4 linked regions of the Drosophila melanogaster genome follow. The protein of the gene in region 1 interacts with the protein of each later gene in a pairwise test. Each region holds a gene or a part of one and is shown in the gene's direction. Other genes may lie near its edges. The genes, in order: CG5359, Rich, shtd and CG3368.

Evidence for each region.
Region 2: the proteins of CG5359 (region 1) and Rich interact in a two-hybrid assay, tested with the Drosophila melanogaster proteins (one large-scale study listed by BioGRID).
Region 3: the proteins of CG5359 (region 1) and shtd interact in a two-hybrid assay, tested with the Drosophila melanogaster proteins (one large-scale study listed by BioGRID).
Region 4: the proteins of CG5359 (region 1) and CG3368 interact in a two-hybrid assay, tested with the Drosophila melanogaster proteins (one large-scale study listed by BioGRID).

The regions. Positions count from the first base shown.
Region 1 is NT_033777.3:9,999,268-10,003,190, reverse strand, and holds CG5359 (uncharacterized protein), read left to right. Parts: upstream 1-1,914; 5' UTR 1,915-1,989; coding exon 1,990-2,251; intron 2,252-2,309; coding exon 2,310-2,569; 3' UTR 2,570-2,618; exon of another isoform or gene 2,619-2,685; intron 2,686-2,822; 3' UTR 2,823-2,876; coding exon of another isoform or gene 2,877-3,013; 3' UTR 3,014-3,165; coding exon of another isoform or gene 3,166-3,293; 3' UTR 3,294-3,347; coding exon of another isoform or gene 3,348-3,355; 3' UTR 3,356-3,420; downstream 3,421-3,923. Other genes in the region: Mical (molecule interacting with CasL), read left to right, coding at 1-144, 204-281, 338-438, 497-693, 751-756; Spn85F (serpin 85F), read right to left, coding at 2,877-3,013, 3,166-3,293, 3,348-3,355, 3,430-3,923.
Region 2 is NT_037436.4:22,257,214-22,264,760, reverse strand, and holds Rich (RIC1 homolog), read left to right. Parts: upstream 1-1,839; 5' UTR 1,840-2,007; intron 2,008-2,064; 5' UTR 2,065-2,082; coding exon 2,083-4,137; intron 4,138-4,387; coding exon 4,388-6,622; 3' UTR 6,623-7,012; downstream 7,013-7,547. Other genes in the region: Ddx1 (Dead-box-1), read right to left, coding at 1-1,103, 1,157-1,208, 1,263-1,278.
Region 3 is NC_004354.4:15,456,416-15,463,984, reverse strand, and holds the start of shtd (shattered), read left to right. Parts: upstream 1-1,543; 5' UTR 1,544-1,649; coding exon 1,650-2,697; intron 2,698-2,757; coding exon 2,758-2,881; intron 2,882-2,939; coding exon 2,940-3,101; intron 3,102-3,159; coding exon 3,160-4,378; intron 4,379-4,437; coding exon 4,438-6,482; intron 6,483-6,541; coding exon 6,542-6,976; intron 6,977-7,040; coding exon 7,041-7,569. Other genes in the region: CG6294 (uncharacterized protein), read right to left, coding at 1-1,157.
Region 4 is NT_033777.3:27,281,752-27,287,952, forward strand, and holds CG3368 (uncharacterized protein), read left to right. Parts: upstream 1-2,028; 5' UTR 2,029-2,090; coding exon 2,091-2,153; intron 2,154-2,206; coding exon 2,207-4,276; intron 4,277-4,334; coding exon 4,335-5,564; 3' UTR 5,565-5,697; downstream 5,698-6,201. Other genes in the region: bigmax, read right to left, coding at 5,747-5,968, 6,034-6,201.

The DNA.
Region 1 (3,923 bases):
ACGACAAGCTGAGCTCAAGCGATTGCGAATCGCTCAAGAGATTCAGCGGGAACAGGAGGAGATCGAGGTGCAACTGAAGGATCTGGAGGCACGCGGCGTGCTTATTGAGAAGGCCTTGCGAGGCGAGGCGCAGAATATTGAAAAGTGAGTGCTAGGATCTGGCTATATCCTTGAATACCCATTAAATGAAATCTCTTCTACAGCCTGGATGCGACAAAGGACAACGACGAGAAGCTACTTAAGGAACTTTTGGAGATTTGGCGCAACATCACAGCACTCAAGTATGCTAATCAATGAAGCTCTATAATAAACAAATCTAATGTAATTTTGTTTTTAGGAAACGCGATGAGGAACTGACTATAAGGCAACAGGAACTGCAACTGGAGTATCGGCATGCCCAGCTGAAGGAAGAGCTCAATCTGCGCTTGTCCTGCAACAGTGAGTGTTATAGTTTCCTCTCAAAACTTTGATATAATATTTAATTCCATCATTGCAGAACTGGACAAAAGCTCTGCCGATGTGGCCGCCGAGGGAGCAATTCTCAACGAGATGCTGGAAATTGTCGCCAAGCGAGCCGCCCTACGACCCACAGCCTCCCAGCTCGACCTCACGGCAGCGGGATCAGCATCCACGTCCGCCGAGGCAACGGGCATTAAGCTGACGGGACAACCGCATGACCACGAAGAATCGATCGTGAGTAAATAGGACCTATATGTTTAAATTTGAAATTGACAACACCACTTGTTTCAGATTTGAATAGCCAACTTTCCCTGGAGATTGCTGGTCTGCGAAGTGGTGCATGGACTGTTGAGCCTAAATACTTAAGATGAAACAAGGGAACAGGGGAGAGCGTACCAAAAAGGCAGCTGAATATACAGAATTAACAATACTAAAACCCGTGAGCTGTAACCGAAACGAGCAACTAACTATTCAAAGTGGATAAGCTGGCTAAGAACAATTTCAATATTTATATAAGTAGAGAGCCTAACTAATATGGGAGAAGCGCGCAAGGTTAATGTAAAAACAGGCAGAGATGAAATCAAAACCAAAAAACTAATTTCGCAATTTAAAAGTAGGGATTACGAATGTTTTTGCGAATACCTTTAGTTTCGTATTCGACCTAATTGTACGTTTTGTTAGTCGTTGCCACTGAAATCTGTCTGATTTTTGTATGTCCTATGCAATATGTTGTGTTTTTATTTAATGTAATGTAGTGAGCGTGTGCAAAGGGTATGTGATTTTGAGCAAATGTAAATGGTGTATTTGAGTTTTCTTAGGTTATTTTCACTTAGCGATTGTTTGTCGATTTCTATGTAAACCGTTTGAGTGTATTATTATTTATTTGACAAAGCACCTTCCGCACATCCTCCCGATCAGCACACCCATGTATGTATTATGTCATTTGCCCCCAATCGAAATCAAAGTGAACACAAAGAGATGCACACAAATATTTTCTAAATGCGAGAGCCTACACATAGCGATGTAAGCGAGAAAGCAACCATTAACTGTATACTAACGAAATCATTTAAATTATTGCGTAACTTTATTTATAACCTGCATATATAAAAACATATTTATCGAATTTATTATGTAACTTTTCGATTTATTTTGAATTGAATAAAGATTTTATGAAACCTAAGGACGATTTTATAGTTCTACTTTATCGTGAAGTTTTCCTTAAATGTCCTTAAAGAAATGTTCTTTAATGGGGAAATTCCGCCATCGACGCTAACTTGACGCACATAAAATATTGGCGCGTATTATAAATTTAAATTATCCAGAAAATGAAAGAGGTGCCACACTTCGTTGTTATAAAGTGGCCACACCAAATAAGTTCGGTTATTCGTGGTGACTGACAATTAGGGATTGGCGGGAAAGCCATTTTACCATCTGGTAACACTAGCAATAAGTAAACAAACATAGCAACCAAGATTTTCTTGGTGCTTTCTTAAACACTTTGAAAGGGAATTACGCTGAATTTGACAAAAGATGGCTGACAAACAGTCCACTGAGGAAACAACCAAATCCGTCCAGACTTTAACAGTGCCCAACCCAGCGGATAGGAAGTCGGAAAAGTCGGCGTCAGGAAGTCTGCACTCCGGCTCAGCCGATGGTTTGGAAAATCAAGAAAAGTCGGAAAAGCCCGGCGACCAGCCCACCGCCTATAGCATGCGACCGGCCTTTGGGGAGATGTTTCCCCTGCCCACCATCAAGAGCATAATGAACAACGTTATGGCCGAGAAACTCAAAGGTTAGTGTGAAAATCCATAAATATACTGCGCGTTGCCTAGCAACTTCACTATTTGAAGACAAAACCTATGACAAGGACGTCGCCAAGAAGTGGACCAGTGAGATCGCCGACGAGGTGAACCAGCAGATAGCCAGCAGCTCCCTGGTGAAGCGGTACAAGCACGTGGTCCAGGTGATGCTAGGCCAGGAGCTGGGTGCGGGGGCCACTTACAACTCGCGCTGCTGCTGGGATTGCGACTGCGACACTTCCGTCTCCGAGGTCTTCAGCAACACCAGTCTCTTTTGCGTCTGTACAGTGTTTGGAACGTATCAGTACTAAAACCGATTTCCCACAGAACTAGTTAGACTAAGGATTATACTTTAATGGGGTGAGCTTACATTAAATGGGTTGTCACGAGATGTGTTTTCTAAAAATATTATATAGATAAAATATTCAACAAATGTTGTTTAATTTAATGATAATTTTAAGTATGAAGTTTCTTTACTTCCATTCAAATTTCATCTGCCCAGAGTCTCGTGACACCCCCGTATATTTACATTTTAATCTAAGCAATGCTAACATCTCGTATTAGTAGGCACCGGGAACAAAGGGTTCATCACTTTCGATAGTCGACCTTCGTCGTGCTTCATTGGATGCGTACGTTCAGCGGATTCAGTATGCGGCCCGACATCACAGCCACGTCCAAGTCGCGATCGACGATGAAAAACAGAAACGGATGATTCACAGAGATCTGAATGGGCTTCGATTGGGCGCCGTAGTTGCCTAGAGAGTAAAAGGAAGTGTTTATTGCACTTTGTCTCGTGTTGCAGAGGCTGCAACTGTTGCAACACCATTAGGTTGGGCATTCGCAATGCGTTGCGGCTCAATGCCTCCACTCCATTCCATTCAGGTGTGCTGCAATGCGAGACACTTACGCTTCAGCTGATTGATGGGATGCGTACGGATGGTGACGTCTATGGATTGCTCAATGTGTCGCACGTAGACGCCCTTCTCCTCAGTCATGGGCCTGAAATCGGCGCGATTTGGTTCGAATACGTCGCAGCTGCAACGAAAGTAAAATGAAGCCAGGAACTGGAGCTATTACACCCATGCTTACATTCCCATCTGCAACAGAGAGCACAAAAACCAAAGACACCTCAATAAAAACACAAAAATGCACTCTACAAATGAATACATACATTCTGCAAGTCGTTTGTCAAAAACATGGTGCCGTGCAGCTTGAAATCTGGAATGATGGCTTGCACCCAGCGTGGCTTCAACTGCTTCCGCATCAGTCGAAGGGTTGGTCCCAGTTTCAAGGAGGCGGCGGCTGCAACAATATCCGTGTGGTAGTCGGGCAACAGGATCATTAGGTTGTACTCCGGTGTGTCCAATTCCAACTCCAGCACGCTCATCTTCAGGTGCTCAAAGTACTTGTAGTACAGCACTGCGTTATATACCTTGAAGGTGGTGTGCACCACCTGTTGATTGCCCAAGTAGAATACGTGGCTGATCACATCCGTGTTATAGTTGGACTTTCCCTCGGCCGCCTCTCCGATATAGTGTGGCTCAAAATCATTCGTGATGGGTGCAAAGGCAGCGGGCACTGGCGGCGGAAAGTGCAGCGGGTGGTGCGGGACATGCGTGTGCGGATTGAAGAGGGTCAGAAAGAGATTTGCATCCAGATCCTTGT
Region 2 (7,547 bases), on another chromosome or scaffold:
TTTGTTTGTGTAGACGGTCAATCAGCTCGGTGTAACCCTGCTTCAGAAGTGCGTCAGCCTCATCCAGAACAAAAAAGCGGCAATGGGTGAGCAGGACCAGTCCACTGTTGATCATCTCCTCCAGCCGCCCGGGCGTGCCCACCACTATGTGAGTGCCCTGCATCAGCTGCGCCTTTTGCTCTTCCAACCTCACTCCACCGATAAGCAGCAGGGAGCGAACCTCTGGGTTGCTCAGGTGGTATTTAAACTTCTCGATCTGGTTGTAGGTTTGCTCGGCCAATTCTCTGCTGGGCTCCATGATAATGGCCTGAGGGGCGTTAGGCGCCGGTTTGGCGGACGGTGCTCCAGCTGCGGGACCGGTTATCGGATTGGCCTTGCTATGCTCGGGTCCAGCCTGGCAAGCGCCAACGAACCCGTTACCCGGGGCATACTTGAAGTCAGTCTTTCCAAAGTTAAACTGCATTTCGGCGTTCTTCAGCACCACCGCCGGGTAAAAGGTCTCCTTGGCAAGGTTGTCCGGCAGGCGGAAGGCTACGCCCAGGTTCTGGCCATTCTTGGTGAAGCTCACTTCCTGGTTTTTCAAATCGAGCAGGCAGCCGATGACATCTGCCTTGCCGAATGCCTCACCGTAGTCATCAAACTGGCGGTTGTTGGACTTCTTGCCGGTGCCGCCGAATCCAAAGCCCATGCGACAGGTGCCCAAATCGAGGTTTGCCTGCTGTGTAGACCAGCCCACACGACACAGTCCCTCGTCCGTTACCGTGGCCTCAAAGTAGAACTTGCCCTTTCCGCGAACGCCAGTGGTGGCCCGACACCCGTGCCACTCCTTGAACTCCCGCGACTGGCAACGCAGACCATCAGGAGTGACGGCAAGCGCGTTTCCTCGGTCGAAGAAGGACATGGTCCACGGAGTCACAGCTCCTCCAATTGCACCGCCCTTGCCAGCCTTCCCCTCCTCCAGATCACGCAAGGTCTCCCACACGATTTGCAGAATGGGGAGGCAGAAGGCACCCGTTTTTCCGGAACCAGTTTCGGCGGCCATCAGTACATCGCCGCCACCCAGGATCAGAGGAATGGCCTCAGCCTGGACATCGGTGGGCAGGCTGAAAATTCATAAATGTGAAGGCAATAGGCAGACAGAACTGTTTTTTCTTACGTCCAGTCCAATTCGTCTGTGGCCATTCCCAGCTCCGGAAGCACGCCAAACTCTGCGAGGCAAGTCAAATAAGCAATGCACACCTTAAATATTAATTTTCACTTACCTTCGAATGCAGTCATTTTGAGAATACTTCACAAATCTCCTTTTTGTTCTGCCTCTCGAAAGCCGGTTGATTTATTTAGTTCGAGATGCGTTGAATTAGTTCGAATTGACAGTGGTTGTTGGTGAACTAGATCGCGGACTCGAAATTCGGGAACTTTTTAGTGTTGTAAGCTTGCGCAGGTCAATGAATTGAAGTATTTAATAACTTTATTTTGAATGAAGGGTTTGAACATAAAAAATATCTTCGGGAATTCCTTTTTAACAACACTCATTAGTTGTTGGTAACTTTACTTGACTATACTGGAATAGGATAAATGCCAATGTTACTTGACTTTATGAGATAAAACTATGAAGGGTAGAACATTTAGTTCGTGATCTAATCATAATGTATTTATTTAATTATTGTTTAAAAGATGAATTTAAAACGATAAGAAGGCTCGTATAGCCGAAAATAGAAGTAACCCAAAATGCATTCACTTGTCGATTTTTTAAGAAACAGCTGATGGGTGCAGAAAAGCTAGCCTGACATCACTGTTGCCTTCTTAAAATCAGTGGTGCGAAACGGCGATTGGCAAACAGCTGTGATTTTGGAACGCTGGCCAACACTCATATTTGTATACGCGTAAAATCGCTCAGATTTTTTGTTGTGCTGTGGAATGTTGTCTAAAAGTGCTAATTGATCGGGGCAGATCATGTAAAACTGGGCGTAACCCACATAAGCTAAATGCACCCGCACCAGACCGCAGGTTGAATTCGTTTTTCCGCACTCCCGCTCTTGCTAATGAACTTTTCCGTTTGCGCAGTAACTTTTCACACGGAGGATGTACTATCCAGTGGGCTGGCCCAAGCGGGTGGGCCTGGCGCTGCCCGGCGAGAGCGCCAGCATCCGGCACATCTGCTGCGACGCGGTGAAAATACTTGTGGCCGCCGTGGGCGACGACTTTCTGGGCATCTGGTACGCGAATCCACTCATTCCCATTGCTTATTTCCGGCGGACGGAGGACTCCCTTCGCCAGTACGGGGCCAACCAGCTGATCGTGTGGAAGCCGGACTCTCGGCAGCTTGCCCTGCTTACCGCGTCCGGCTCCCTGTTGTTGTACCAACTGGACTTCGAAGCCAACGGCATGGGAATCCTGCAGCAGATAGATCCGCCCGCCGCGAGCCTCAAACGCGACTCCGCCGAGCTGTTTATCAAGGAAAACATACCCCGGCTGAGCCTTCGCGAACTGTGTAGCGTCACCTTGGGCTCCGTCATCACCACTGTGTGCTGCATTAGCCTCAGCGAATTACTCTTGGCCACCCAGTCCTGCGAACTGCTGCGTCTGCAGTGGACCGAACTGGAGCACGCAGAGAACGACCTAGAGTTGCCAGCCCTATCTTCAATTAAGCTGCGCGACATTCCCTTCTACGTCCAGCAGCAGCCTCAGCAGTCCGCGCGCAATGTGCCGCCCTTGAACAGGGACTCGTACGTAGCTTCTCTGGAATACTCGCCGTTCATCGGTGGCTGTGCAGCCGTCTTCAGTGACCGACGAGCCGCCTTCCTGATTGCCAACCATCTAAGATTTGAGACCGATCACATGCACGGCTTCTGGGTGCCGGATGTTGAGGATGCGAGTGTCTGCAGTGTCAATCACAAATTTCGACTGTTGGCATATGGTCAAGAGAGCTCGGCGGTGAAGGTGTACGCAATTGATGATGCCACCGGGGGACTAGAGTTTTCTCATCGACTTATCCTCACGGAAAACATACTCCCAGACAGCCTGGGTTCAGTAAACGAGCTAAAGTGGAGCCCTGACGGCTGCGTCCTTGCTGTGAGTTGGACAAATGGAGGCTTGTCCCTATGGAGCACATTCGGAGCATTGTTAATGTCTACTCTGAGCTGGGATTTCGGCCTTAACGTAGATTTGGTTTGTCAAAATCCACTCAAGATCCGTCGGCTCGAATGGTCAACCGAGGGTTATCAGCTTTTTATGCTAAAACTGCATCCGGAAAAAGACAAAAGTAATGTGCTTCAGCTGCAGTTTGTGAAGAGCGCTCTGAGTATGAATCCCTGCATGACGACTAGTCCGCACATCCTGCTGCAGGGTGACGACTGCCTGTACCTTAACCAGGGCAATAATCTGGAGCTAACGTATGCCGGAAGCCATGGAACGTTTCCATCAAGCGGCCTGGGCTCTGACGAAGACATTTCCGGTGATGGCGACTGTCTGGAGTTAAAACAAAGCCCGCACACAGGCAGCATTCTTACGGAGAGTAAGTATTGGACAGTGTTGCAGCTGCCGCTCAACTACGCGGCCACAAACTGGCCAATCCGATATGCTGCTATCGATCCCGATGGACTCCACTTGGCGGTGGCTGGTCGCACTGGACTGGCGCACTACTCCCTAGTGACCCGGCGCTGGAAGCTTTTTGGCAATGAGTCGCAGGAGAAGGACTTCGTTGTCTCTGGCGGCCTACTGTGGTGGCATGGCTTTGTAGTCATGGGCTGCTATTCGCTTCTAGACCGCACGGATGAGTTGCGTTGCTATCCGGCAGATTGCAAACTCGACAACCAATACGGGCACAAGCTGCAGGTCCGAGCACCAGTTATTAGCCTGAACTCATTCCGACACCAGTTGATTGTACTCACTGCCGATGGAATAGTGAGCCTGTTCAATATGTCGAAAAACTCAGCGTACGCCCTGGATATTGAATGCGCCTATGAATTGGACGTGAAGAGCATTTGCATCCATCCTGCCTGCATTGTTAGTCTGACTGTGACTAACCTCAAGAATGAGCTAAAGCCCCAGGGACAGCTGGGTGGAGATCAGGCAGAGACTATCATCGTGAATGTATGCGGCCGCATATTGATGATACAGCGCGATGCCGGCGAACAGGTATGTTTGAAAAATATTAATTGTCGAAATGCTTAAAGTTGGAGAGATGCAAATCATTTATACATTTCATATGTGAATTTACCGTTATCTCAAAGTAAAGCGAACGTCAGCATGTCTTCTATTTGGAAATGTCTTTGGTTATCGAGCCAACCATAACAAGGAATTTGAGTATGCATCTTTTCAACTTCGCGGACAATTATTACGATATATCATATAGCAACTAAAGTCAAAATCTATGTTTACCAAATAGGTCCCAAACACCTTGCTGGCCACCTGCCTGGCTAGCTGCGTTGAGGTCTTCTGGCTGTCACACTCCCTGGAACGCTGTGCGATGCGTGACTGCCTTTGGCTTTACTCCGGTGCCCACGGAATGCGCGTATGGCTTCCAATACTGCCGCCGGGAAGGGAGCGTCGCGAAGGCGAGCAGGGCGGCGCCCAACGTCTGCACAGTTTTATGTCAAAGCGAATCATGCTGAGCTTTCCGCTGAAACTTTATCCGCTCGTCGTGCTCTTTGACAATGTGATCGTTCTGGGGGTGGAGAACGAAAGCACGCTTTACGCCAATGAGCAGGTCTCCCACTTCTCTCTGCCGTTCGCCGTTATGGAACGCAAGTCGCAGATCTATCTGCACAAGGTACTTCGCCAACTGATCAAGCGGAATTTGGGCTACTCTGCCTGGGAAATGGCACAGTCGTGTTGCTCGCTACCATATTTTCCGCACGCTCTGGAACTGCTTCTACACGAGGTTCTCGAGGAAGAGGCTACTAGCAAACAGCCCATCCCGGATGCACAGCTGCCCAGTATTCTGGACTTTATAAGAGAGTTTCCCGTCTACTTGGAAACAATTGTTCAATGTGCCCGCAAAACAGAGATCGCCCTGTGGCCGTACCTATTTTCGATGGCTGGTAAACCGAAGGATTTATTCCAGATGTGTCTGCAGTCGGAGCAGCTGGACACGGCTGCGAGCTACTTGATAATCCTGCAGAATCTAGAACCCTCTGTTGTTAGCAAGCAATATGCCACCATGCTGCTGGACATTGCTCTACAGCAGCGAAAGTGGGAGCTGGCTAAGGACTTGATCCGGTTTTTAAAGGCTATAGATCCAAATGAGATCGACTCACCGCGGTCGTCGATGGTGGTGAATGTGAAAATTGCTCCTCCTCCCCAGGTGAATACACAGCAGCAAGTGAACCAGAATGCGGATGCCTTTAACATGGTTCTGGGTCCCATTGCCAGAGAGAGAAGCTTCTCCACCACGGTGACTAGCAATCTGCCCAAAGATAAGCAGGCATCTGGGACTCCTGGGGTTGCACCTGTGACCGAAAGCAGCAGTGCAGGAGCACCCTCGGTGGTGCGCCGGCGGTCGACTAAGCAGCGAGAGACGTTCTGCATCGATCTGATACTGCAGCGCCATGCTCGACAACTACTTCAGAACCACAAACTAATGGATTTAGGCTACATGTGTGCTTATCTGGACTTTCACCTTGTCAGCTGGCTTTCGCAGGAATCAGAGCGGGCAGCCAAGTTGGATGATTTCGCCGGCGCTCTGCAGGCGCTACACGAAGAACTAGATCTCCCCATTCCATTTCCGACTGCGGCAAAGGACGACTTTGCTCAGATACGCGGCAGTCTTCGACAGACAGGAGGCGGTGGATCTTCGCAAACGTCAGAGTCTGGCTATTTTAGCTTGGCCACGCCCAATGGAGCCGCAACACAGTCGCCACAGCTGCAGCCAAGCATTAGGGAAGAGGAGGAAGAACTGCAGCAGCCTAGCTCCCTACCAATACTTAAGACGCGGTCTGGATCGCAACTGTCGTTCGATAACTTTCGCTACCGCCGGCTGTACTCGCTACCGACATCAGAGGACGACCTAGCCGTGGATATTCTGCCTCAGAAGCTGTCCATTAAGCTGCGTTACTTGTTACAGCTGTTTATCGAGGCGAACTGCACGGACTACGCGCTGGTTCTTTCCATTTTGCTCCAGGACGCGGCTTCCATCTCGCGGATTGTAAACGGAATAATCCGAAGCGAATCGGTTCACACCTGTCGACGTACGGAATCTGCACTCAAACAGTTAAGTCAGAGCACCTTTGAACACAGCGGATCTTTGTACCGGGGGTTCGTCCTCACCTTGCAACCGCATGTTTACCTGCTAGAACAGTACATACAGTCTCTGGGGGATGCTCCCTGTTCGCAGCTCCAAGATGCCGGCCCGGGTACCGAGCAGGGCGTGGACGTCAGCACGGGACTCCAGGGACTGCAGAACGAAGTGGGCGAATTTGTTCCAAATTCCCAGCAGGCTAACGGAAACCAATGGACTGTGGCGGACCTTAACCCGAATCACCAGCGGCTCACGCGGCACGCCAGTCTAGAGTCTAACGGGAACGCAGTGGTGGCCAGCGGTTCCTCTGCCCATTCAACGCCCACCCAGCGCCAACTGTCACGGCAGAACAGCCGCGAGCGGGAGGGCTGTCGCCTCATGTAAGCCGTTAGCCGTAATCCGTAATGCGAGAGGCGTAATCCGTACTCCACATACTCAGCGCAAAGACGCAGATACGTACTTTTTTTGTAGGTCCGTGGGGTGAAGCGTTTTGTTGCTGTAGCTCGTTGTTAAAATTTTTTGTTAATTGTAAGCCGGCGTACACACTCACACAGGGTTAGAGAAACAACCGGATGGAAACTCACACGCAGACAACGAAGCGTCGCCGGCTAAACAAAACAAACCGTAAAACCGTATGAAGCATACGCAACGTAATCCATAATTTAGTAGATGAAATTTGCTGCAATATTTGTTAATTAAAATTATACAAACAATATACTTAAATATACAAATCAAATACAATTATATTTTTACTAATAAATGAAACCATTTAACAATTACCACCCTTGTATTCTTAAGCAGCTCGTTCAGGTGTCAATTCGAACTGATTAATTTTACTGCGATGAACCTGAAAACCACTACGAATAAAATAAAAAATAGAAGGAAATTGTTTTTATTCGAAAGAGAACAAGAAGTGAAAATCAATTGCCAAATTCTTTCGTACGGCTTTGTGATAGGCCAACATTAATTCATTCAATATCTACATTGGCATCTGTCAGCTGGTGCAGGAAACCGGAAATAGTTCGTATTTTCAAGTTTCCTTGATTTTCTAGGGATCAAAGGCCATGCCATTCACCCTCTGCGACTATTGTGACCTGGCGGCAGGTTGACTCTGCGACAACGTCGGTTGTAATTTGTTCGCCCGCTGCTGCTGTAAAAGTTAATCGCTGTGACTGATTCATTACGTGCCCTGCTTGATTTGGTAATGCAGGTGGTAGTTAGGATGGTGCCAACGCCGAAGTGCTGTCCCTCCCAGTCGAGTTTGTGTCCGTGTTGTGCTGCGCTTTTGAAGTTTTCCTCCAAGTTACCG
Region 3 (7,569 bases), on another chromosome or scaffold:
GTTGCGGCGCCACTGCCGGCGGACGAGGAGGAGGAGGAGGTGGAGCTGGATGAGGATGATCCGCCCTCGGATGAATTAGTATTGGCAAGTGAGCCCCTGCGGGCGTCCACAATTCGCTGCGGCAAATGCTCCGTGGGCTGGTCCACGGTCAACACGCGATTCAAGTAGTCGAAGCCCTGGCCCATCACACCCTCGCTGGTGTGGCCCAGATCGAAGCAGTGGCCCAGTTCGTGGCACACGGCGCCCAAGGTGCTGGCATAGACGCCGCCGTACGTCCGCCGATAGTTGCTCTCGTCCGGCAGGCGGGCGATGTCCACCCGCTGGGCGCTGCGCACACAGTCGCCGATCTCCGCGAAGCTCGTGGGCCACGCGTAGAAGTGGGCACTACCAAAGAGCGCCAAGCCGCCGCCACCGAGTGCTGCGTGTCCCTTGAGATGCCGCCGGATGTTGGCGTACGAGGAGTCACCGCTGGCCACCACTGCGTCGCCGTCGTAGCGCGTGCAGCCCACAAAGGCGACGAACTTGAGGAGCAACTGGTGGCCCCACTGCGGACAGGCGATAATCTCGCCGGCGAAATGCTGCCACAGCTCGTCCTCGCTCTTCGCCAGCGCCTGTTTCCGGGTCAACTGGCTGCGGAAGGCGCAGCACTTGCCGTTGAGCGTGAAGGTGCGGTTGGGAAAGCCCGCCGCGTGCAGTTTGTGCGCGTAGATGGACTGCACCAGCCGCAAATTAAGATCGATGAGGGAGTGCACCTCGTGCTGCTGCGCCAGCGTCTTCTCCTCGTCCTGACAGAGCAGGTAGAGCGGCTGCACCCGGTAGGAGCTGCGGCGGGGCCGGTAACTGAAGCTAATCGTTCGGGTGGCCGTGCAGGATCGCAACTCCAGGAGGCAGGCGCTCTCCTCCTCCTCCTCCTCGCGATTCGCTTGTTCCAAGTCGAATAGGAGCTTAAACTCGCCGCCGGCCGACAGCTGGGTGAGCTGCTCCTGGGACAGGTGCTCGGGCAGATCGAGGATCGCCTTCAGTTGACGCGCCGTGGAACACTTGGGCACCAGGCGTCCCTTGACCAACAGCAGGCTGTGCTCCAGGCGCTCCGACGTCAGCGGCTGCTCAACCTCGATGCTGTGCGCGCGCTTGCAGCCGGCGGTGCCGCTGCTCATTGCCAAATTCTGGCCAGGATTTCCGGTTCCGTTTGTCTGCTCAAATCAAAATCCAGACTCCGAAATCCAATTGGAAAAGCCGAACAAACGCACTGTGCTGCCAGACCGGGAAAATAACCGGTACGCCAGCGGACCAAAGCTGGTTGCTACAAGTGACCAACCGGCATTGTAATCGATAGTAAAAGCAATCGAACTGTTATATTTTATATTTTTAAAAATAGGCAAAGCCATTTCTCTAGCATTTCTTTCGGTATGACTTTATGGCATATACTGGTAATTGTTTTGTTTGTCGCGATTCTGGTCTTCCTATCGTTATCGGCCTTTTGATAGCTCTCCTCATATCGAAGTACTGCAGGCCCGATAGAATCAGGCACTTATCGCCACCCGATTTCGATGACAGTTTTTAAATAATTGTGCAAATTCCTTGCTAATAATAAATTGTAATCAATTAACTTGTCAATCGCAATTCTGGATGCACCTGGCGACGCGGACATGATCGCCGTCGCAGAACCGCCGCTGGAGTTTGTGCCGCGCGGCCGTCAGACGTCCGCGGAGCATCCGGGCCCACATGACCAGCCAATGGCGCGCCACCAACTGCCCACCACGGAGCATCTGCTGCTGCAGCGCCTCCAGAATGTGAACATCTCGTCGGCCGGTGAGGACTGCCCTTCGGGCGGACAGGAGTCGTGGACAGTCCGAGAGCTGTACGATGACTACGAGGCATCCGAGGAGCGCGCCGCCCTGCGACGCAAGTTGACCGAGCGGACAAAGCGATGTGGTCTCCAGGCCACCTCGCTGCCGAACAGACTGCTCAATCCACCGCTGGTGCGGCGCGTGGAGCCAATGTGCGACTATATGGTTAACAACGAGGAGGAGCTCTATGTGAACCGGAACACGGTGGTGTGGACACAAGGCGTCAACGATGACGACGATACCGACAATGGGGTGTACCGGCGCATGTGTTTCACCACCGATACGCCGGTGCGCTTCGCCTGCTTCCTGAATCGCAGTTTTGTGCGCGGGCGACTGGCGCAGCTGAAGGCGGCTGTCCACCCGGATGACGACCATTTGACCGCCATCTGTGTGATGGATCAGGACGCCCTGCGGGTGTACTGCAGCAACGGCGAGGACTTTCTAGCCAATCTGGACTTTCCCGTGTCACAGCTGTGGCAAACCAAGTATGGCCTGCTGCTGGAAAAGGACTCCAGCAATGCCTTGATATCGCACATGTCCATTCCGATGCCGCGTCTCTTCTCTATGTCGCATCCGCTGCACGAGGCCTGTCCCGTCGTCCTGAAGACGGCCACCGGCTCCACCGGCTACATGACCGAACCGGAATACACTGTGGTCTTCACCACCGAGGAATCGGATTTGGTGATGCTGTACGATGCCAAGTTCTTTAAGCATTTCGTTGCACGCCTGCGTAAGGTAACGCCCGAAGAGATCAACTATGTGAGTCAGCAGATGGAGCTGGGACAGACGCTAATGGGACCCAGGTCGATGGCAGGCAATAGTTTCAGTTCCACCAAGCAAACTGGAGGTGAGTTGATAGCAATGCCAGCAAGGGCATACGATTTATTCACTGTCTATCCATTGCTAGCCACGCCAAAAGCAACGAACTTATCGTTTGCGGCCAGGAATATCAACACCACCACCACCGGCATGGGCAACCAGTTCGGACTCAGCCAGTCGCAGTCGTTCAGCGGAGTTCTTGGACAGTCGAAGTACGTTTAAGTCGCTGTCATCCATCACTTACTTATTATTGCCTCTTCTTCCGTTTAGTCGCGCCTCCCTAGGCACTCCATTGAGCCAACTGCAGAGCAGTATTAGCCAGCAGTCCATGTCCGTGAAGGATATGCGCAAGTTAACGCACGTGAAGCCGGCAAAACCCATTGAGCCGGAATTGTGTATGGAGCACATCTGGACGGAGAACATCTACGGAACGTCAGTAAATGCCACCAAAGATGCCACTTTCAGTACTAAAATTGTCTGTCTTCCTTAGTCAACGAGAGTTCTGCGAGATGGCCACCCGAGCATTTATCCACACGGATTTAGTGGGTCAGACCTTTTTGTGCTACCTGCTGGCCCGCTCGTGCCGCCTTCAGTTGGTCCGCCTCACTGGCTATGGAAGGGGCGAGGTGCAGCTCTCCACGCACGCCTCCACGCTGGCCGCGAAAGATGCAGTGGGTCTGAAGAGAATGCACATGATTGCCGTTCTCGATCCGAGTGGCAGCTTACTTCTATACACAGGCACCGTGCTCATATCCAAGGTGCACATTACGCCGTTTTTGGCGCCTACCTCCATTCCCACACCGCTGGTAACGCCCATGACTGCTGCCCCATCTCCGTCGGCTTCGCCCGCTCCGTCTCACGTTAAAACACCAATGGCAGCTGCTGGACCAGCAAGCGGCATTCCGTCCGGCAGCAGTTCTTTCGTGGAGGTGCGAAGGAGCAGCCTACTGCCCACAAAAGCGCCGGGGGATGTGGCTGCCTTCGAAGAGGAGCTGCACATGCTGTCGCCCATCCAACCGCAGCCGGTGTCCTACACACAGCGGCAGGCGCACAATGTCTGCAAATCCCTGAGAGATCCGGCGGGAAATCGATTGACTTTGGTTTATGCCACGGGCAGAATGCTCAGAATAGCGCTGCCATTTCTAAATGATACACGATTGCTCACCAGATGTGTGGCTACGCTACGGCAGGTTCTAAGTCCGACCCAGTTCCTGGACTTTGTTATCCGTTGGTATAGCGACAGGAATCCGCCGGGATCGAGGAATTACTCCATAGAGCAGGAATGGCTGCTATTCCGCTCCACACTGCTCGCCCTAATGGGTCTGACTGCTGCACCGGATGTGGATGCGGGCGAGAACTACGCTAGATGTGCCACGCCACCGCTGCACACTCAATTTGGAGGCGGCGCTACTGCGACGGAATCGAGTGACGGTTCTAGTTGCAGTTCCAATTCTACACTGGGTGGCCAGGATGAGCCGAAGAAACGGCGAATATACAATGATTGCGATGATTTCACGGACGACGACTGGGAGTTCCTGCTGCTCCAGACGACACTGGCTCCCTGCGGAGCCGATGGCCACAGCTACAGCGTGAACATCGGTGCGCTGCTCTTCCGAATGATTCCCGCCATCTTCTTCAGCCTGCATTTACTGTACGAGGATCTCAAACTGGACGCTGACTTTTATGGAGCGCTTCCATATCTGGCAACGGTAGGTGAATCATTTAATAGATCCATTAGTGGTTTTCTAACACCATCTCCTCGTTCCAGTTCCTACACCAGCTGGCCATCGATATGCAGCTGGAAAGTTATGTGCTGCACTACATACTAGACTTTCCGGAACTCTCGAATCGTACGGGCAAGCTCTCGTTGCTGGGAGCTGAGCACGGAGCTATGATGCTGCACCAGGAGCTTCTGAGGGTTCCGGCACCCAGTGTGTTTGCCCAACTCGAGCACATTATTGTCGGCGAGGAGGAGGTGATGCCTTACACCTTCTTGGAGTGCGTTAACGAGAGAAGTCGCATTTTACTGCAGCTCGTATCGCTGGTGACTCATGGGCATGAGCGTCTGAATTACTGGTGGCAGCTGCTTGAGATCCCCGGCGCCGTTCAGGCCAACTTTACGCGGCGCTCTAAGCGTAATATCACGGCGGATGCTCCGCGTAGCCATCAGATGTTACAGCTACTTCTGGCCATGCGCTTGACACGGCGAGACATTGAAAGATTCCCGGCGGCAGTGCATCTGATTGTAGCGGAGGCACTGGAGGAGGCTCGCCTCTCGCCGCCCATGGGCTGCAGCATGGCCACCTATGAACTTATCCTGCGTCCAGAATTGGCGGCCCACGCTCAACTGCCGTTCCTCGAAACGAGCACTGGGCAACCGCATTGTGGCCGGGTCTACAAGGAAGATTCACTGTCAGCGAGGTGTCCGCCGACCGGGGGATCAGAAACTGATTCACCGGCCCAATTGCGCCGCGACGACATGGACAACATGGACACAAAACTACTGCGTCTGCGTTTTCCCGATGACATGCGGGTGGATGAAGTGCGCCGTCTGCTTAACAGCTCGGAACCGGTGGTCATTGAAGTGCAACAGGCACCGGGAACCAGCGATCACGAATTCATTGAGGAGCAGGAGAAGCAACTGTTTGCACTATGTTCGCGCACAATGACACTGCCCGTGGGCAGAGGTATGTTCACCCTGAGAACGATGTTGCCGCGGCCCAGCGAAAGCTTGACCATGCCCAAATTGTGCCTGTTGGGCAAGGAGCCGCTGAAGGGCACCACCATCGAAATGCAGCAGATCGAATTCCCAGCGAATATGCAAATGTGGCCATCGTTTCACAATGGCGTGGCCACTGGCCTGAAGATCTCACCCCAGGCTCAGGACATAGACTCCAATTGGATTGTCTACAACAAGCCCAAAACGCATTCGCATAATGCCCTGGAGCACGCTGGTTTCCTCATGGCCCTGGGCTTGAATGGTCACCTAAAGACGCTGTCCTTCATGAGTGTCTATAAGTATTTGGTTAAATGCGATGAGATGACCAACGTTGGTCTGCTGCTGGGCATTTCCGCTGCCCATCGCGGCACCATGGATACGAAAACCACAAAGTTGTTGAGCGTTCACTTGGAGGCACTGCTGCCAGCCACCGCCATGGAGTTGGATATACCGCAAAGCACACAGGTGGCTGCTATAATGGGCGTCGGTTTGCTCTATCAAGGATCAGCTAAGCGCCACATAGCCGAGGTGCTGCTCCAGGAGATTGGCCGTCCTCCAGGCCCTGAGATGGAGAACAGCATTGAGCGCGAATCGTATGCCATGACAGCAGGTCTATCCCTCGGATTGGTTACCCTCGGTCAGGGTGAATCGCCGGCGGGCCTAAGGGACCTCCAACTGCCGGATACCCTGCACTACTACATGGTCGGTGGAGTGAAGAGACCCATCGGCGGTTCCCAGAAGGAGAAATACCGACTAGCCTCGTTCCAAGTTCGTGAAGGCGATACCGTCAACATAGATGTCACTGCTCCGGGTGCAACGCTCGCATTGGGACTTATGTTCTTCAACTCGGGGAACGCAGCTATTGCCGAATGGATGCAGCCGCCGGATTCGCGGTATCTACTGGACATGGTGCGGCCTGACTTCCTTCTGCTGCGCACAATTTCCCGGGGCCTCATCCTATGGCAGGATGTCCGGCCGGACAACGCGTGGTTCCAGGCACAGTTTCCGCGAGCACTCCGAGCTCACCTAAAACTCCCGTTCTACGAAAATGAGTATGCACCCGAGGACTATGACGTGGACTACGAGGCCATCTCGTGAGTAACTGAAGTTGAATGTCAAAGTAATTAGATACGAATTATATACTCTTGTCCAGGCAAGCCTATTGCAATATCATGGCTGGAGCTGCCTTCTGCATTGGTCTCAAGTACGCCGGCACTGAGAATCTGGTGGCCTTTGCCACGCTGCGGTCGGTGATAAAGGATTTCCTTCGCTTCCCCAGCAGGCCGATGGGCGAATGTGCCGGTCGCACCACTGTGGAGAGCTGCCTGATGGTGCTGCTCATCTCGATCTCGTTGGTGTTCGCCGGCTCCGGCAACTGCGAAATTCTTCGCATAATTCGGTTTCTCAGGTCGCGAGTGGGACCACAATATCCGCACATAACCTACGGCTCTCACATGGCCATACACATGTCGCTTGGCCTGCTATTCCTCGGCGCGGGTCGCTTCACCATTTCCCAGACACCGGAGTCGATTGCTGCACTGGTCTGCGCCTTCTTCCCCAAGTTTCCCATACACAGCAACGACAATCGGTAAGGATTAATATATTTGCAGCAATGTGTTAGCACACTTCACCGCATGGATTTACATTTTAAGATACCATCTGCAAGCGCTGAGACATCTCTATGTACTGGCTGTGGAACCGCGCCTGTTCCTTCCCCGGGACATTGACACCAATAAGCTGTGCCTGGCCAACATATCCGTGTTGGAGGTGGGTGCCACCGAGCTGCGCCGCCTGCCCATCGCTCCCTGCATCCTGCCAGTGCTGAGCACCCTGCAGCAGGTGGTGGTGGACGACGAGAACTATTGGCCAGTGTGCTTCGAGCGATCGCGCAACTGGGATCAGCTGGAAAAGGCGCTGGAGATGAGTGCACCGATTGATATTAAGAAGCGAACGGGCTGCCTTTCCCACTTGGAGGACCCGGACAGGCTGAAGAGCATGCTGGCCCAAACATTGACGATGGAACAGAGCATCTGTTGGCAGATCGATATGAACGACCTGCAGCAGTTTGCCAGCGAACGTATGGTGAAGCAGTTCCTCAGTCGCTGCCTGGACACCAAAGGCACGGATTTGAGTCCCCCGGAGCTGATGAAGCGGCACCAGGTGATGCTGCTATTCTACAAT
Region 4 (6,201 bases), about 17 Mb from region 1:
CCAGCGAGAGAGCGGCGAGAGAGTGGAAAATACGACCGTTTTCAAGCGTCAAAACTGAGGCAAACCGTCGCCGTTAACGACGATTTCAATACTAATTTTTAAAACTCGAAAAAGCGACGAACGGGCCTACAAAAACCCAACTATATAAACGGCCACCTGTGCTGGTGTGCGTGTGCGCTACGACGTTATATATTCGTGTTCGTACTTGTATTCGTATTCGTATTCGGAAGGTACAAATAATGGTTATGGTCGCTAGTTGTTTTTGAGATTGCGAGAGATTGCCGGAGAGACAGTTGCCTATTATTTTTTATTTCGCCTTTTCTTCTTTCGCTGCCATTTACGTTTTTATTCCGCTCTTTTTTTAAGAACGGGGTTATTTCGGGGAATATATAAATTTATGGGTTCGCGCGCGTACACACACACACACACACACACACAGCAAATAAAAACTGCAAAAAGCTACAGTTTTAATGTAGTATACACATGTTGAAATCGAGTATAATGATTTTTCAAGTTTTGTTTTCCGCTCGTCTGCCATTCTCCGTGAAGTGAAGAAGACTCTAACGGAAAGTTTCAGACTATCTATAATCTTTAAATTCAATATTGCAGATTAAGTTAAGAGTGTTAGCTCAAAGGTTTGAAACTTTGGAGATTTAAGCCCGTTGGATAACTGAGCTTAGAAACTGAGCAATAGTATTTAAAAATAAAGCGAAACTCACGGCTTAACGGATTTAACTATAGCATTTCAAAGTTCTTGTGGGAGATTACTTTTGGTGCGCACTGTAGTCAGAGCAAAGTGAACGCAGATAATCGCACTCGACTGTAATAACTTGCTTTTTGTGTAATAGCAAAGATATCGAATTACCTTAGGCCTTTGGGTATTCGATTTCAGGTTCTTGTCGACGGGAGACTACTGTAAATTGGATTCTCAGTAGGAAATCGAGCTTCTGCCAAGCTGTGTGGTAAACAAGGTTTTCGTGAATCCTCTTACAGGTGAGAAACTACCCCTTTGCGGCATAAGAACTCCATGTACACCGAGTACATAGGCGACCTGCTGAATACTGGTTCAAAAAATTCGCATTCAGCCGAGCTTCCTTGAAATTTTCGGGGTGGCAGATGCCGAGAATGCGAATAGGTTGTATCTCGTATCGCATCTGAAAGCCATGTGCTGAAGTCAGTCGAAACTAGATTTACAAGTATTGGGCGGACCGAAAAGATGGGTTGCGGGGAAGCTGGAGTTTTCGAACTGGGAGCGATGCCAGAACAGGAAACTTGAAATCGGCTGCAGCTATTCTCTGTGGATGAGCAGCACGACGCTGGGAAATGCGGAAAGCATTTGCATTAATTACGCATGGCACCAGTTCTAGGAAAATCCACACGTTTATCTGAATTTCATGTATGCAAATAAATAAACAAAACGCGAGGCAAACCTTGCAAGCATTGAATCCAAGAGCACAAACACATGCATTTTCTTATCATAACGAACTTTGTAGGGAGCACTCACTTGAAAAAACAAAGAGCCAATTTGGTCTTCGGTTTGTTATATCGATTGCATGAAATACCTTTAAAATATTATATTTTTCTCGTTTCCTGTACGCGCTGTGGTTGTCAAGAAAACTTTTGAACTTACGGATCTGCAATTTCTGCTATCGAATTAATTTTATCGGTTGTATCAAACAGCTGCTTTGTGAAAGCTTTATATTCAAAGATTGTTGTTAATAAAGTTTATTAAAAAAAAAAAAAATTTATCATCTTTTTAATATTTAAAAACGCTGTAAAAGAAAACAGAATACAGTACCCTGTACCTAGTTAACATTACCAGACAGCCATCCCTCACAAAATATAACGAAAATTTTAAACACTGAGTCTCTAAACGAAGTACTTGGTACCGCTATAAATGATAAATATAAAAATTATATGTCACATTAATTGGAAACATAATTTTTAATCAACAACGGTTGGGCGTTTCAAGTTTTTAGATAACGAAAAGCCATCGATTATCGATTACCGCGCAATTATCGTAGCGCAGTGGCCGGTTTTGTGGAGCCCTGGTTGTGGTAAGACGAAAGTTGTGAGAATTGAGATTGGGCATGTCGGAATCTCCGGGAAAACGGCCAAAAATCGGACCCAGCGATTGCCTCTGCTACCTGCAGGTGAATTGAGTACGGCACGGGGACTGAGGTGTAACATATTGTGTTCTTTCTAGGGCCTGGGAGATGTCCGCCCGGAGGATGCCGCACTGCAGCTGGCCCAACGAATACAGACGGAGGAGGATGAGGCGGCGCAGGCGGACACGTGCAGTGGTGCCAATCAAGCCGCCCTGAACATTAGCTTCCGTGTGTACTACCACATAGTGCACAAGTACGAACTACAAGACTCGCACTTCGCGGATCTTTTCCAGCGTTTGACCAGCGAGCAACCCACTGCCTTCCTGATGCTCCAATCCATTCTGCTCACCGACCATTGGAAGCGTCTCGATGCTGCGCTGCTGGAGGAAAAATGCACCACTGCCATAATTGAGGCTCTGCAGCGCAACAATCCCAGCCTGATGGCCGTGCTGAAGGCCACAAACTTGCTGGTAAAGAAGTTCCCCAAGCTGCAACTCCTTCCGCTGAAGTTGGAGCACTTCTATCACTGCCTGCAACGCCAGACGCAAACGGGATCCCGTGAGGAAACGCTCACGCTGTACAACCACTGCTGCAAACAGCCGGAAAGAGCATTCTCCTACTTTCGCTTGATTGTGGAGTTCTGGCCATGGACGAATCGCAACAAGTACTATCTGCTGAGCGGCGCTCTCAACTCTCATTCCCTGCCTGATCTCTTGGCGGCAACGAATCAAAGCGAAGAGGAGTTCTTCAATGGCCTAAGGCTCAGCCTGAGCTATAAGGGACTTCGGGCCGCCAGTCAATATCCCGTGAAAAGCTTGAGCAACCAGCGCTCTCCGGCACTACTTGCAGCCAGTGTGGAGCTGTTGCTTAACGGCAGTGTGGCCGAGATTCAGAACTTTCATTCGCAGTGGTTCCTGCGCATCCAACAGCGGGAAGAGTTGTTTGAGCTGCTGCAAGCAAATCCTCAGATTGTGGAGTTCCTGGCCACCGAGGAGGAAAGGTCGCCGAGCGATCAATTACGTCTGATTCTGATCTTCAGCATGTTCGCCAGGGAGATATATGCTACCTCCAAGCTGCACTTCTTTAAGATCAGCACCGAGCTGTTGACCAACTGCAGCCAGATGGAGACGGAGGCGCAGCTGTTGATCTTTCGCTTTCTGGTTGACAATCTGGGAAACTTTGCCGTCGAAGACTGTCTGGATTTCTTTCACAGCTTTGTAGAGCGACATCGCTGTCTGGAAAGCTCAGAGTTCCGGAACACGATGCTGGGCAAGATGCCAACGATTATCAATCACACGGCCAAGCACTTTCAAAAGGTTCTAAAGGCGGACATCGGAGTGGGTGGCCATGCATTGGCTCAGAATATCAAGCGATTCTTTTCACATCTTCAGCATCTGATTGAGCGGGACATCCACAGCGAGGTTTATCAACCCAAGATCTTTGCCCTGAAGTTGCTGGAAATCCTAAATAGGTCGCTATATGCAGAAGAAGTCGCAAAAAATGCAAAAATGTGCAGTCCTCAGCAGAATCAGCGCATGGGCATATTTCTCCTGGAGCACGGAGTCTTTCGTCCAAAGGAAATGGCGCAACAGCTCTTCGAAACCCTCAACAATCCACAAGGTTTCGATGATGCTTTGGACCTAACGGTCTCCCTGTTGATTCAGATGGGCCATGTGGACAGTGAAAAGTGCGTGGAGCGGTGCTTCGAACTGTGCCACACGTCTGATATGGACCAATGCTCCTTGGTTTCCCTCTACGCACAGTTGGCGGTTACAAAAGAGCAAGCTGGATCAAAGATATTTGATGAGTGCCTGAAAAGGCTTACCGGTAAATTAGATCCCTTCTTCGAAGATCCTTTGCAGACCGCCAAGAGCGGAGGACATCTCTTTGGCTATCTTTGCGCCTTGGACGAGGTGGTCAAGGCTGGCTTGGCAGTGGAGACGCCTCTGGAGGATTTGTTGCCATTGCTAGAGAGAATTCTCAGCGGCATTCTCAAGTTCCTCAATGTGGCCAACGCCCGGCGACAGGAAGAGGCAGCCACAGCAGCCAGTTTCCAGGACATGGACGAGAGTCTCCAGCTGCTGGTCAGCGAAAGCTCCTTCAAGTGTGATGGGGAGGAAGAGGCTTGTCGAAAGTACTTACTGATGAGCTTCTGGTTAACGTTGAAGGTGCGTAGATATATTTCTTAACTCTTGATAAACTTATCATTTGTTTATCCTTCTGCAGGGCTGTTGCGATCTGGCCACCAGCATTGGGTGTTACCAATTGCAAACGTCTGCCAAAACAGTTAACACCGAGACTCTGCGTCGTTGCCTCAATATTAATGTTTCCGTTTTGACGCTTTGCCGGCACAAAGGAGCCATAGAGGCGGCCGGCTTGAGCATTGGCAGACTTACCCGTGCCATCACCAGTAGCTTAGACAGCTGCGATTCGGGATTCCAAATGCTTCACGACTGCCTAGAGCGAGAGCTGCTGACTGAAAGCCGTCAAGTGAGCACCACACGACGTGGTGCCGGCTTCGCCATAATGTTCCTTCACGTGCTGAAGAACGATAATCCACGACAGCGGCTGCTGCTCCATCGCGCTGTGCAGCAGATTCTTAAGAGGCTAAATGAAAACCAAACCGCGGAGACTGTTTGTCTCGATAGCAATCACGATCGCTGGGAGGCATTGGTACTGCATTACCTTTGCGTTCTTGTGCGCGACACAGAACTGAGGCCAGCTATGAGCAAGTACTACAATGAGATTCTGCTGGTGGCCATGGAGCACATCACCAACCCCGAATGGACCATTTCGAATGCGGCACTTCAACTCTTTGGCGCCAATCTGGGCAAGCTGGTCGGCCAGCGCCAAGCTACAGAGTTTGACACACGACCCGCCTGGGAACCCAGTGAGCTGGACTACGACGAATTGGGCTGCTTGCTGCCCAAGGCTTGCGAGCACATGCTGAGGTGCTGTGATCGCCAGGAGGTCACGTCATCCATCATACTCTTTCTGGCCTTCTTGTCCAAGGTCGAGCACTTGCGTACGTCGGGCGGGAAAGAGCCAAATCCCCTGCTCATTCGCTTCCGCCGACTCAGTTGGCATTTGTTGCGGCACAAATGTGATCAGGTCCGCCAACTGGCGGCCACCTGCTTTGTGCGGTCGCACGAATTCCGCTGCGATCTGCCGGCGGCGCTGCTGGCCAGCGCCAAGTTGGCCGCGAATCTGGAGGAGGAGAACTTCTACGAGGGACTGATTTACACGCTGACATCGGGCGTGCTGAAACTAAAGCACGAAGCACGTCATGTGTGGAGCGCGGGACGTCTGGAGGGATTCCTTGAAGCGCTGCTCACCGCGCTGGATGTCACTGAGCGAGTTCGTCGCTTCAAGCCGTACACACGGAATGTGCTGCTGGAACTGCTAGGCCAGCTGGGTAGTGCGGATAAAGCGGCTCTCGTCGAGTCTCTCGGCTAGCATTAGCAAATCTAGTTTTATCTAATCTTTAATCATTAAGCCAAAAAGTTATCTTTCCTTGTCAACGCTTTTACAACTATTCAAATGACGCATTTAATGTTTGTACGCAGTAAACGTAACGAAAGTATCTACCAAACAGGGATTTCTAAAATAACCAATGAGAATATGAACTAACCGCGCGATCAGCTGAAACCCTCGCTCGACTCCTGCTCCATGGCCTGAAGTTCCTGTTTTTCCATAGCCTCCTGCGCCATTTGCTGCAAGGTACGACTGAGTATGTTGCGCAGGATGTGCGGCTTGCAGTGCTCCTCCAGCCAGGGGATAATGCCGGTGGTCAGCTGCTTAAAGTTCTCCATGGGTATGTGTTGAAATGTCTCGAACATTTCCTCCATAATGGCCTGGAACTACGGAGGAGGGTGGTGGGTGGCGATTCTAGAGGTTATAATAGAGGTAAGCGCTCCATACTTACCACTTGAAACTTGGCCTCATCGGTGAGTCGTGCCTCCTCCGGCCCTGGATTCGCCTGCTGATGCTGTAGCATGTTCTCATAGCCGTTCTTAATGATCCGTAACGCTGTTACCTCCTTTTGTAGCGCCGATCCCTCGTCCTCCTGCTTGAGTTTCTGCTGGTTAAGGTA